Arabidopsis thaliana: one gene and its partner. The protein of the gene in region 2 interacts with the protein of the main gene of each other region in a pairwise test. Each region holds a gene or a part of one and is shown on either strand. Other genes may lie near its edges.

The links. Proteins that work in one complex are often made in the same cells at the same time.
Region 1: the proteins of KLCR2 (region 2) and AT3G13160 interact in a two-hybrid assay, tested with the Arabidopsis thaliana proteins (one large-scale study listed by BioGRID).

Annotation. Positions count from the first base shown.
Region 1 is NC_003074.8:4,229,287-4,233,275, forward strand, and holds AT3G13160 (Tetratricopeptide repeat (TPR)-like superfamily protein), read right to left. Parts: upstream 2,123-3,989; 5' UTR 1,893-2,122; coding exon 708-1,892; 3' UTR 543-707; downstream 1-542. Other genes in the region: AT3G13150 (Tetratricopeptide repeat (TPR)-like superfamily protein), read right to left, coding at 1-344; ATSPO11-1 (Spo11/DNA topoisomerase VI, subunit A protein), read right to left, coding at 2,274-2,403, 2,493-2,556, 2,653-2,773, 2,920-3,025, 3,121-3,152, 3,247-3,305, 3,391-3,438, 3,585-3,621 and 3 more.
Region 2 is NC_003074.8:10,379,727-10,385,289, forward strand, and holds KLCR2 (Tetratricopeptide repeat (TPR)-like superfamily protein), read right to left. Parts: upstream 3,524-5,563; 5' UTR 3,114-3,523; intron 2,933-3,113; exon of another isoform or gene 2,899-2,932; 5' UTR 2,868-2,898; coding exon 1,087-2,867; coding exon of another isoform or gene 1,083-1,086; exon of another isoform or gene 998-1,082; coding exon 787-997; 3' UTR 504-786; downstream 1-503. Other genes in the region: AT3G27950 (GDSL-like Lipase/Acylhydrolase superfamily protein), read left to right, coding at 1-45.

The DNA.
Region 1 (3,989 bases), 6.2 Mb from region 2:
TTCTTCTGGTATTGAAGAACTTCGTCGATCGTTGAGAACTTCTTTGCTTCCCTGAGACGGCGGATAAACGCACTGTAGAGTCCATGGACTTGCCGGAAACTCTCAGACTCGCAGGATCTCTTGAACTTCTCTACTTTCTGCGTCAATTTCGAATTTTTAGAATCCTTGGCGTCATTCGACGATTGACCTCCGTCTCCTACAGAGGCGGTGGATGCCTTCAATTTACTAGGGAATTTGGTGGATTTGGTTTGGCTTCTGGGTTTTGCGGACTTAGCAGTGGCGATTGAAGATTCTTTGAAGATTCCATGGAGGCGACTGTACAGCGACGAGCCTACCTTGCTCATAGCTTCGTGCAGGTGGTGAAAATGTCAGAGTTGAGTGTGAGGGTTTAGGGTTTTGGACTTAAGAGTGCTCCTCCGGCTAGGTCTTATGCAGTGAATGCGAAAAACAAAATAAAACAGCGTGCCGTTTCTACTCCTGGACTACGCAGCGTTTTTTGTGTCTAAATCTTAAATTCATGCCGTTCTCTAACCAGAAAAGGAAATAAGAAAATTTCTTTTAACTTTGAGAATTGAAAGCAACACAAACACACTACAGATAGAGATAGTTCAATTATTAAATCACCGCACTCGCAGTTTGCAACAAGACATTAAAAAGAGGGAAACACAGACTAAATTAAAAACTAGTCAATAAGCCTTGCCAATTAACTACTCTTTGGGAAAGAGACGAAGCTTGCACTGCAAATAGTCATTCGTCTTTGCTAGCTCGACAATCTCTTCAGCTTCGTCTTGCTTGGACCCTTTCACCAATGCATCAACTACCTCCTGCAGGACAGCCTCATCGACTAGCAGACGCTTAGCAAATATTTCCTTGCAGAGCTCATAAGCAGACTCTAAATCGCCCGCCTTACATATTGCAGGAAGCAATGAGTTAAAGACAAATTTCAACGGGCGACAACCATTCTTCTCGATTTCCTTGTACCACGTTATGGCTTCATCTAATTTTCCTTCACTGACAAATCCTTTAATCATGGCAGTGAATGTGAAAACATCAGGTTTGAGCTCATTACCCTTAAGTTTGTCAAAGAGACTAACCATCTCTTCTGATTTATTCTCCATGGCTAGTCCTAACAACCGAGCATTGTAACTACGGATGTCTCGCTTAACATTCTTCTCTACCATTCTAGCCCATATCTGTTCTCCTTCCTCAAACTTCCCTTTTGTATACGACTCATGTAAAAGTATATTGAAGGTGATATGATCAGGTTTCAAACCCTTGTTCTCAATCTCATCAATCAACGCAACAGCTTCAGTGAAGGAACCCTTTCCACACAATCCCTTGATCAAAGTATTGTAAGATGCAACATCTGGTTCAATCGAGAGCTTACCTGGCAACTCCTTGAAGATACCTTCAACCAAATCAAACTTCTTGGAGTTCACACAGGCATTCAGTAATGCGTTGAAAGACAACGCTGTTCTCTTGCAGTTTCTCTCAGGCATTTCGTCGAACACTTTCTGTGCATTCTCAAACATACCGACTCGTCCATAGAGATTGATAATCCTCGCCACGAATCCTTCCTTTGACATGTTTGGATACTTGTTCTGCTCCTCCAGGATCTCCTCGACCCACTCAAACTTCTTGGCTGCGGCGAGACGGCGAACGGTTCTCTCATAGACAGCTATATTCTTCCGGAACCACTCTGCTTGGCAGGCTTTCTTGAACTTCTCCGTGATGAATTTGGGGTCGCGTTCGTCATTTACGAGGGTGATGAGGGACGGTTTGGGTGGCGAGGGTGTGGCTGCAGCAGCGGTAACGGCGGAGAAGAAGCGGCGATTCGTGTGGGTGCTGAAGCTGAAGTTGCCACGAAGGAGAAAGCGAGAGAGAGACGACATCGTTTTTAGCTGTATGCAAAGGTTTTTCTCTTCTTTTTTTTGGATCGGAGTGTTCAAAGGTTTTTAGTCAGGGGAACGGCTTTAATACTTCAAATTAGGTTTGGTAACAATATAAAGCAAATGAACCCTAAATTACTTTTGTATTATTCAAAATTTCAAACTTATTACTCATTAGTCATTAGTGAATGTACTTTGTATTATTAAAAATTAAAAACTGAGAATTATTTTTTATAATCTGTATATTTATGATTTTTCCATTAAAACTATGTTCATTTGTCCATTCTACCAATGCATTTGGTTTGCACTAAAAAGCTTAGAAAGAGTCATAAAAAAAACAATGAGCATTACCTTGAGTTGGAGACTAGTTATCTCGTATGAAGCTCAAGGAGAGCTTACTTCACGACGAATCTTAGAAGGAATATATACCTCTGACAAAAAGGACAGTGAGTGAACTGAGAGTGCTTCGATCTCAAACTTGACCCCTCTTTTCAACATCGTTTCAAGTTCCAACCTTAGACGACCAAAATCGTTTTGATCAAGACTAGTTTTTGTCATTTGGTTGAAATGTAAATATAAAAAAGTCAGGGAAGTTTTTCATACCTCCATTGTGGCATTTCACGCTTCAGGTAGCATCTAAGCAACATTGCTTCAGTTCTTTTCTTATCTGTCCGGGGAAGTTGTTACAATCTCAAAAAAGGAAGCAGTGAAAAATAGGAAAATCTAAAGATTTAAGGCGATAAGGTGTTTAATGATCTCTTACCTTCTTCTGTCAGTGGCAAAAGACACTGTTTGGGAACACTATATACCTCAGAGTCTGAAGGAAAAGCTCCCAACCATTTCATATCTGGTGCTCGTAATGATTCAATATCATAGGCCATTTGCTTACAGAAAGAAAACAAGTGACATAAGGAAAATGGTTCAAAATGAAATGGGTCAGTGCCATATCACATTATCACTATCAACAAAAACAATGCAAGCGGTGAAATTTTCCGAGTTCAGTCATCTATATTTTGTAACAGAATCTAACCATGGAGCCAAAACGGTATGTGGCTAGGATCTCAAAGCCATATGGATCACAGTCGACTAGACAATGCACAGGTAGATGCAACTTCTCCATCAGGAGTCGCAAGAACCTGGAAAGAATCTGTGTTATTCGCTGATATATTAATCAATAGAAGATAATGTCTGATAAAATAGTATTCCAGGAACCTGGGATTAAGTTATGTACCTTCTTGTTGAGACATCTGGATATCCTCTTCCCTGCCAAAAACAATCGTAACTTTGATGTCAAACATAAAATGGAAATGAAAACTAGTCAAAACTGAAATCAGTAAGAATGAAGCAGATTTCTTACTGTGATAACAATGCAGCGGTTCGTCTTGCAAAACATGTCATTTGCTAAACGCTGGAATACTATAAACCATGGATGAAAGCGATTTAGTCATGAAGAAAGAAAACCATCTTCCTAGTTACTACATAAATAAGAGGTCTTTCTTACCTGTTTCTTTTTCCACAACCAGTATGTACTCAGCTAAGCTAACAATATCTGCAAGCAGGAAAATGACATCCAATTATAGTTCCTGATGCCACCATAGATAGTGAATCTTATACTTCCTGATATCAGCTGAGATAAGGATTTGACTTCTCTAAAGAGCATAAAGCATCACTTAAAATGATTGCAAATATATGTACCTTCGACTTCCTCTACAAGAACAGGAACGGGATATGCCTGAAATGAAATCACTTGCAGAGTTATACTTCCTGATGCCAATATAAAAAGTGAATCTTATGTTCAAATTCTTACAGTGTTCAAGCTGTTTAAACAATCAAATTTCCTTCCAGCTTCCCTAAATTTTAACCAACCCATCACCAACCTACAACACAAAAGAATAATGAGGTGGATCTTAAAATAAGGACATGCCTCAAGATAGAAGCATTGCACTCGTTATCAAGAGCACCCACCCGTTTCCAACAGAAACCTGCAAAATATCACATGAATGAAAAAGTAATCACATCTTCAATCGCAGCTTATAATAACTCTTCAGAAGGAAAATTGAAGGTGAAAGTATTAAAGTACTAACCACATTCAAGTTGTAC
Region 2 (5,563 bases):
CCACCTCTCCCTACCCAAAAAGCATGTAAACTCACGAAAAAATAAGTTGCCATGATATAAACTAATAAATGTCTAGCATATTTCTGGTGCTTTCAAGTAACTAGCCAAAATTTCTATTCACATCTCTCTTTTTGTTTTTGAATCAATGTAAAATTTTCTTCAAAAAGTCATTGGTTACAATATATGCAGCTTTAAGCAGAATGTTTCTATTCACATCTTATCATATTAGTTATTATATAAAAGACTATATCAAATAATCAGTAACTTGTTTGGTAAGAAATTTTAAACCGCTTAGTTCAGATTATCTTTTGCTTAGTGACAACTTTTCTTTTGTTGCTTTGCTAAGTGACAACTTCTTGATTCGGTGGGTCGTCTCTTTATGTTCTCATGCTACATATGTATGTGTATATTCGGTTATTGTTTTTTGTTGACATTCATGAACATTACATGACAAGACCAGACAAGATGTTTTAGTAACCAAACACTTGTTGTTTACTCAAGATCAGTGCTCAAAGTTAGAGAAACTGCCATCAAGGAGATTTTTAAACTCCAAAATTTCAATGTAAATCACATTACAAAACGACCAAATCAATTGCGTTTTACTCTTTACATTTTATTTATAAAGAAAACAAATGCAAGATTTTTTTTTTTTTCCTTCACTTTTTATAAAACTAGAAAACATAAAGCCTCTTCATTTTTTTCCTTCTCCCTCGACCGTGTAAGTACCGTATTCGAACTTGTATTTTGTATATATATACATTTTAGACCGGACAATAATCCGGTTAATCAATAAACCGGTCTCTGTCCATTTGCAATTTCAGGGTTGTTGTCCAAAAGGGTAAGAAGTGCTCTGTTTCTTTTACTCCTTCCTCTTCCAGCTTCTTTCAACAACGCAGCAAGCCTCTGCTTCTCGTCCTCAACCTCGGGATTTGCCGTCCCGAGCTTCTCTTCTCTTGTCCCAACAACATACTCCAATATCTCTATAGCATCATCTAACCTGTAAAGCAAGTAACACATTGCTTGTACCGCAGGGAAATACCAAAAAACATAACCTAGCAAGAAAATTGTTTTAAGTTCCAAATTTACCTTCCCATTGCGTCGTACGTTCCAGCAAGGTTACTGTAAACCGCTAATGTATCGGGATGGTACGGTCCACACTCTTTCTCAAGAATAGTTTTCGCTTCTTCAAACAAATCTGCAGCTTCATTGATCGCGTAACGCTGAACGCAAGCTAGTCCCATCTGATTCAAAGCAATCCCGAAAAGAGCGGTTTTTTTCTCTCCGCTATTGCGGAACTTTGATATCGCGCTCTTGAATATGTCGTAGGACTCGGAGTAATTTCCCATCATATAAGTAACCACACCCATTTGAGCTTCAATACCTGCAATCGTGTTCTGTTGACCTGGAGCGTTTGCATATATCTTCAACGCCCGTCTCAACAACTTAAGAGCTTGATCAAGTTCATTCATTGACTGATATATCGCAGAAATCTCTATAAAACCAGTCGCAACCTCTTCCATAGGAGTTCCTGGAGTCGGTTTTAGGTAAATCTTGAGAGCGTTTTCGCAGTACGATTTGGAATCGCGTGTTTTCCCAATCTTGTTGTACAAGTCAGCAAGCCTAACGTAAACCAAAGCAACAGAGGAATGAGTCTCACCTTTTCCTTGCTTAAACACAGCTAAAGCCTTCTGGTATGCGAATATCGCTTCATCAAACCTAGCTAGCGACATGTAAGCATCACCAATACTGCAATCTACAGCAGCAACATCTTCTCTATGGTTCTGAGATGACATTGCCATGCTCGCTAAAACATAATGCTCAAGCGCAACTTCATAATCACCTTTCGCATCGCAGATAAGTCCCATCAGTTTTCTATCCGCAGCTTCTTCAATAGAAGCTGTAGCGGCAGCACCGTTTTCTTTGTGAATGTCCAATGCCATTTGACAAAGCCTTGAGGCTTCTTCAAACTGCATTGCTTGAACATGAGCTTCCGCTAAGTACCTACAAGTTTCGCCAACTCGTGCATCCGATTCTCCAAGAACTTGTCTTTGAATCTCCAAACCCGCGGTGTATAGCATAATCGAATTTTCAACTTGACCCATCAAACCATACATGTCACCAAGCTGCATACACCCTGCAAATTTCGCCAACGCGTGATCCTCACCATCTTCAATCATCGGTATCTCGATAGAACGTTCAAGAACAGGCACAGCGTCATTGTATCTCCCTAACCCTGCATATATCGCTGCCAAGATATGCAAAGACATCACCAAATTCAACCCAAGTTGTTTCTCTCCTTCCCCACATTTCTCAAACACTTTCACCGCTCTCAACGCTAAATCAAGAGCCTTGTTTAAATTCTCACCTGAAGAAACCAACTCTCTGGCTTGCTTCAACAACACCACACCAAGCTCAGGACTCTCCTCATCAACAGAAACCTTCCCCAAATCCGGTGATTTCCTCGAAGAGATCCTCGAACCCGGCATCTTCGGATTATTAGGACTCGTTTTCGCAACCTTCTTACCATTCGAAAGAGGTTTCTTCTGACTCAAGCTACCTTCTCCATTACTTTCTTCCTTCTTCTCCAAGATAATCTCTTTCTTGCTCTCTCCTTCTTCTCCTACATCTCCAACCAAATGCCTCAACTCCAAATCAATCCTAGATTCAGCTCCATACGAAATAAAACTCGCCCTGGACGGAGACTGATCATCAGAACTCTCCATTTCACAAACGTTATGATACAACTGCTCAATAGAAGCATTCATAGCTCCATCAATTGCAAGATCTATAGAACTCAGAGGACTCCTCGGTGAAGCTTGAAGGGCAGAATCGTCTTTTACCCTCTCATTGCTCTCTCCTACGTCCATGGCCTCCAAAACTCACAACTCAATTATAAATCTGAATCAATGGAGACCAAGATTTTAGATTCAAATCCGTTAAAACAACAAGATAACATCAAAAGACTCGAAATTGAGAACCATAAGTCCCTAACTAGAATTATCTAAAGCTGACATAGATTCAGTTACTAACAGAGAACAAAACCCAGAATCAAATTCAACGAAATTGAAAAGAAAAACGAAAACTTTGAAGATTTTAAGAGATAAAAATCGAACCTTTATGTGTCTTTGACTCTGAAGAAATCTGCAAGAAGGCAAAAAAAGAACAGATTCTGTTTTTTGGTAACTTAGTGTGGTTGTGTAAGAGATGAAAATGAAGGATTTGGTGTCTTGTACTTTTCACTTTTAGGTGTTTGTTTTATATCTTCACTTTCATAATCTCATAGCTAATGTTATGAGAAAGATGAAGCAACAACATTTATGCACAAACCCTTTCACTGTCCTTATATGTTTTGAAACAAAAGCAGACTTTTTTTTTTGGGTCTACATTGCTTACTTTAATTTACCTTTTAAATTGAATTATTGATTGATTATATTAAGATAATGAAGATGATAATTGACTCTTTTTGATGTGATTATATGATTATTTTTTCAAGAAAGAGATGCATAACCAGAAATTTTTTTGAAGATCATTAGGTTTGAAGATGATTGACTCTTGAAGCAATAAAAAGAAGATGACTTCTTCCCTACTTGCACTCTCTCTTTAAATAATTTATCTTTTTTCCTCAATTTTATAAATAAATTTATCTCTTTGAAAAATAATAATGAATGTCTCATCCATTTTTTTTATCATCTAAAATTTGATTAAAAATTTGCTGTGAAACCAAAGAAAATTACAAATTTTCAAAGAAGGAAAAGTAAAACCGACAGATAAAAAATAATTCCCCAAAAATTACAGCAGAAAAAAACGAGATTCTTTCTGGAAACTAAACACTATGAAATGAATGTTTCATCCATTTCAAGATTACCTTTTTTTTAATTAAAACTTTTAAAAAATATTGTTTCCTTCACATGCAATTTTTTCATGAATTTGTTTTTTTAAAGTTAAAGTTTGAGTTTTGCCCGTTAAGAATTAATTATTTTTCTTATTTATCCTAAAAGAAATATTGTTTCCTTGAAATGCAATTTTTTAGGGATTTAATGAGTTAAATTAGAACAAAAAAAAATTGAGTTTTGCAGGTTAATTAGCCAGCTAATTAAATGCTGGGGAAAGATCACAATTCACAAGTCTACGTCAAACCCTACAAATTCACAGCTGTATAATAAGTACCGTTGAGATTCCGCCACGTGTCATACTTAATCATCAATTATCTCTAATGATCATCCCATGATCTCTAATCTATATACGTAATATTAAAAACGTGAACAGTTAAAAATTTAGCCTTTTGATTGATATAATGATGCAGTGTTTTTTTTTTAGTATAGTCTTTAACTCTTTATGGAAAGAAAAATTGGACCACTGGATTTAAAGGATTGAATCACTAATTTAGTAAGAATTTTTCTTAATGACGAAATGATATGACACGTGGACTACAGCTGCATACCAGTTAGACAGCCTGGTTTTATGGTCCAGATGTGGTCCACCTTTAAGCCCATTACGGCTTTATGGGCCCTTATAGTCATCAGTGTAGGGCCTACCCAAAATGTAATTTTTATAGAACTCTCGTTCCCATATTTCATGAGTCAATTTTATTGTGAAAAAACGATAATGCGCTTAAGGCAATTTTTTCACTAGCCAACCAACAAAATATCGAAATGACTATTATTTTTATTTATTTTTTTTTTCTTGTCACAACGAAATGACTATTTATATATGTTTTTGTTAAGAGCCCATAACATTATATTATTTGGTTGGTCGGTCATATTATATATGCAAATTATGTATGACTTGGTTTCTTACAAGAGACAGAGACAACCCACACGTTTGTTCATAATTCTAAGACCTAACAACGTCTCTTCCTTCGGATTTTTATTTTTGTATATTGCATAAAGACAACTCTGTAACCACAAATACTTTATTATTTCCTATTCACAAAGTTATAAGCAATTCTTTTTTATCGTCAGTTCATAAGCAATTCATTGGATTAATTTATGAACTGAAAACAAATTGTAATCATTGACGACTGTTGGGCGGTGCTGTTTTCTTTAACTCTTTCGCCGCTCGAATCCCATATCAAATCTTATCTGTTCACAAATTATTTGGTTTTCTAAATTCCTACGCGTTTTATATTACCAACACGTTTTTGTTTTCTTCGAAAATTTTAGGTCAGAACGTATATAATTTTGACAAATTTGTCAAATACTATCTCTGACAAAAGTTTGATAAATTTTGACAAATTTGCCACAACATCAGTCATTGAATTGTACAATAACTGTCTAACAAATAAAAATTTTCTACTTAGCGTAAAATACATTCGTTCGTGAATCGTGATGAAACAAGAATACTTGCGAAACAAGCAAAGTAAACCTAATCAAATGCATGATTTAAGCATATACCGCAGGATTCGTTTCAGAATACCAAAATCTGCAACTATTGGAGCATGCATTCGTTGACAAACAAAATTGACTACATACTGGATATACGGCCGAGTGATGGTGAGTTATTGCAATTTTCCAGCTAGGCTTCGAAAATAAGTTGCATCCGAGGATAATTCAAAGTTGAGGTT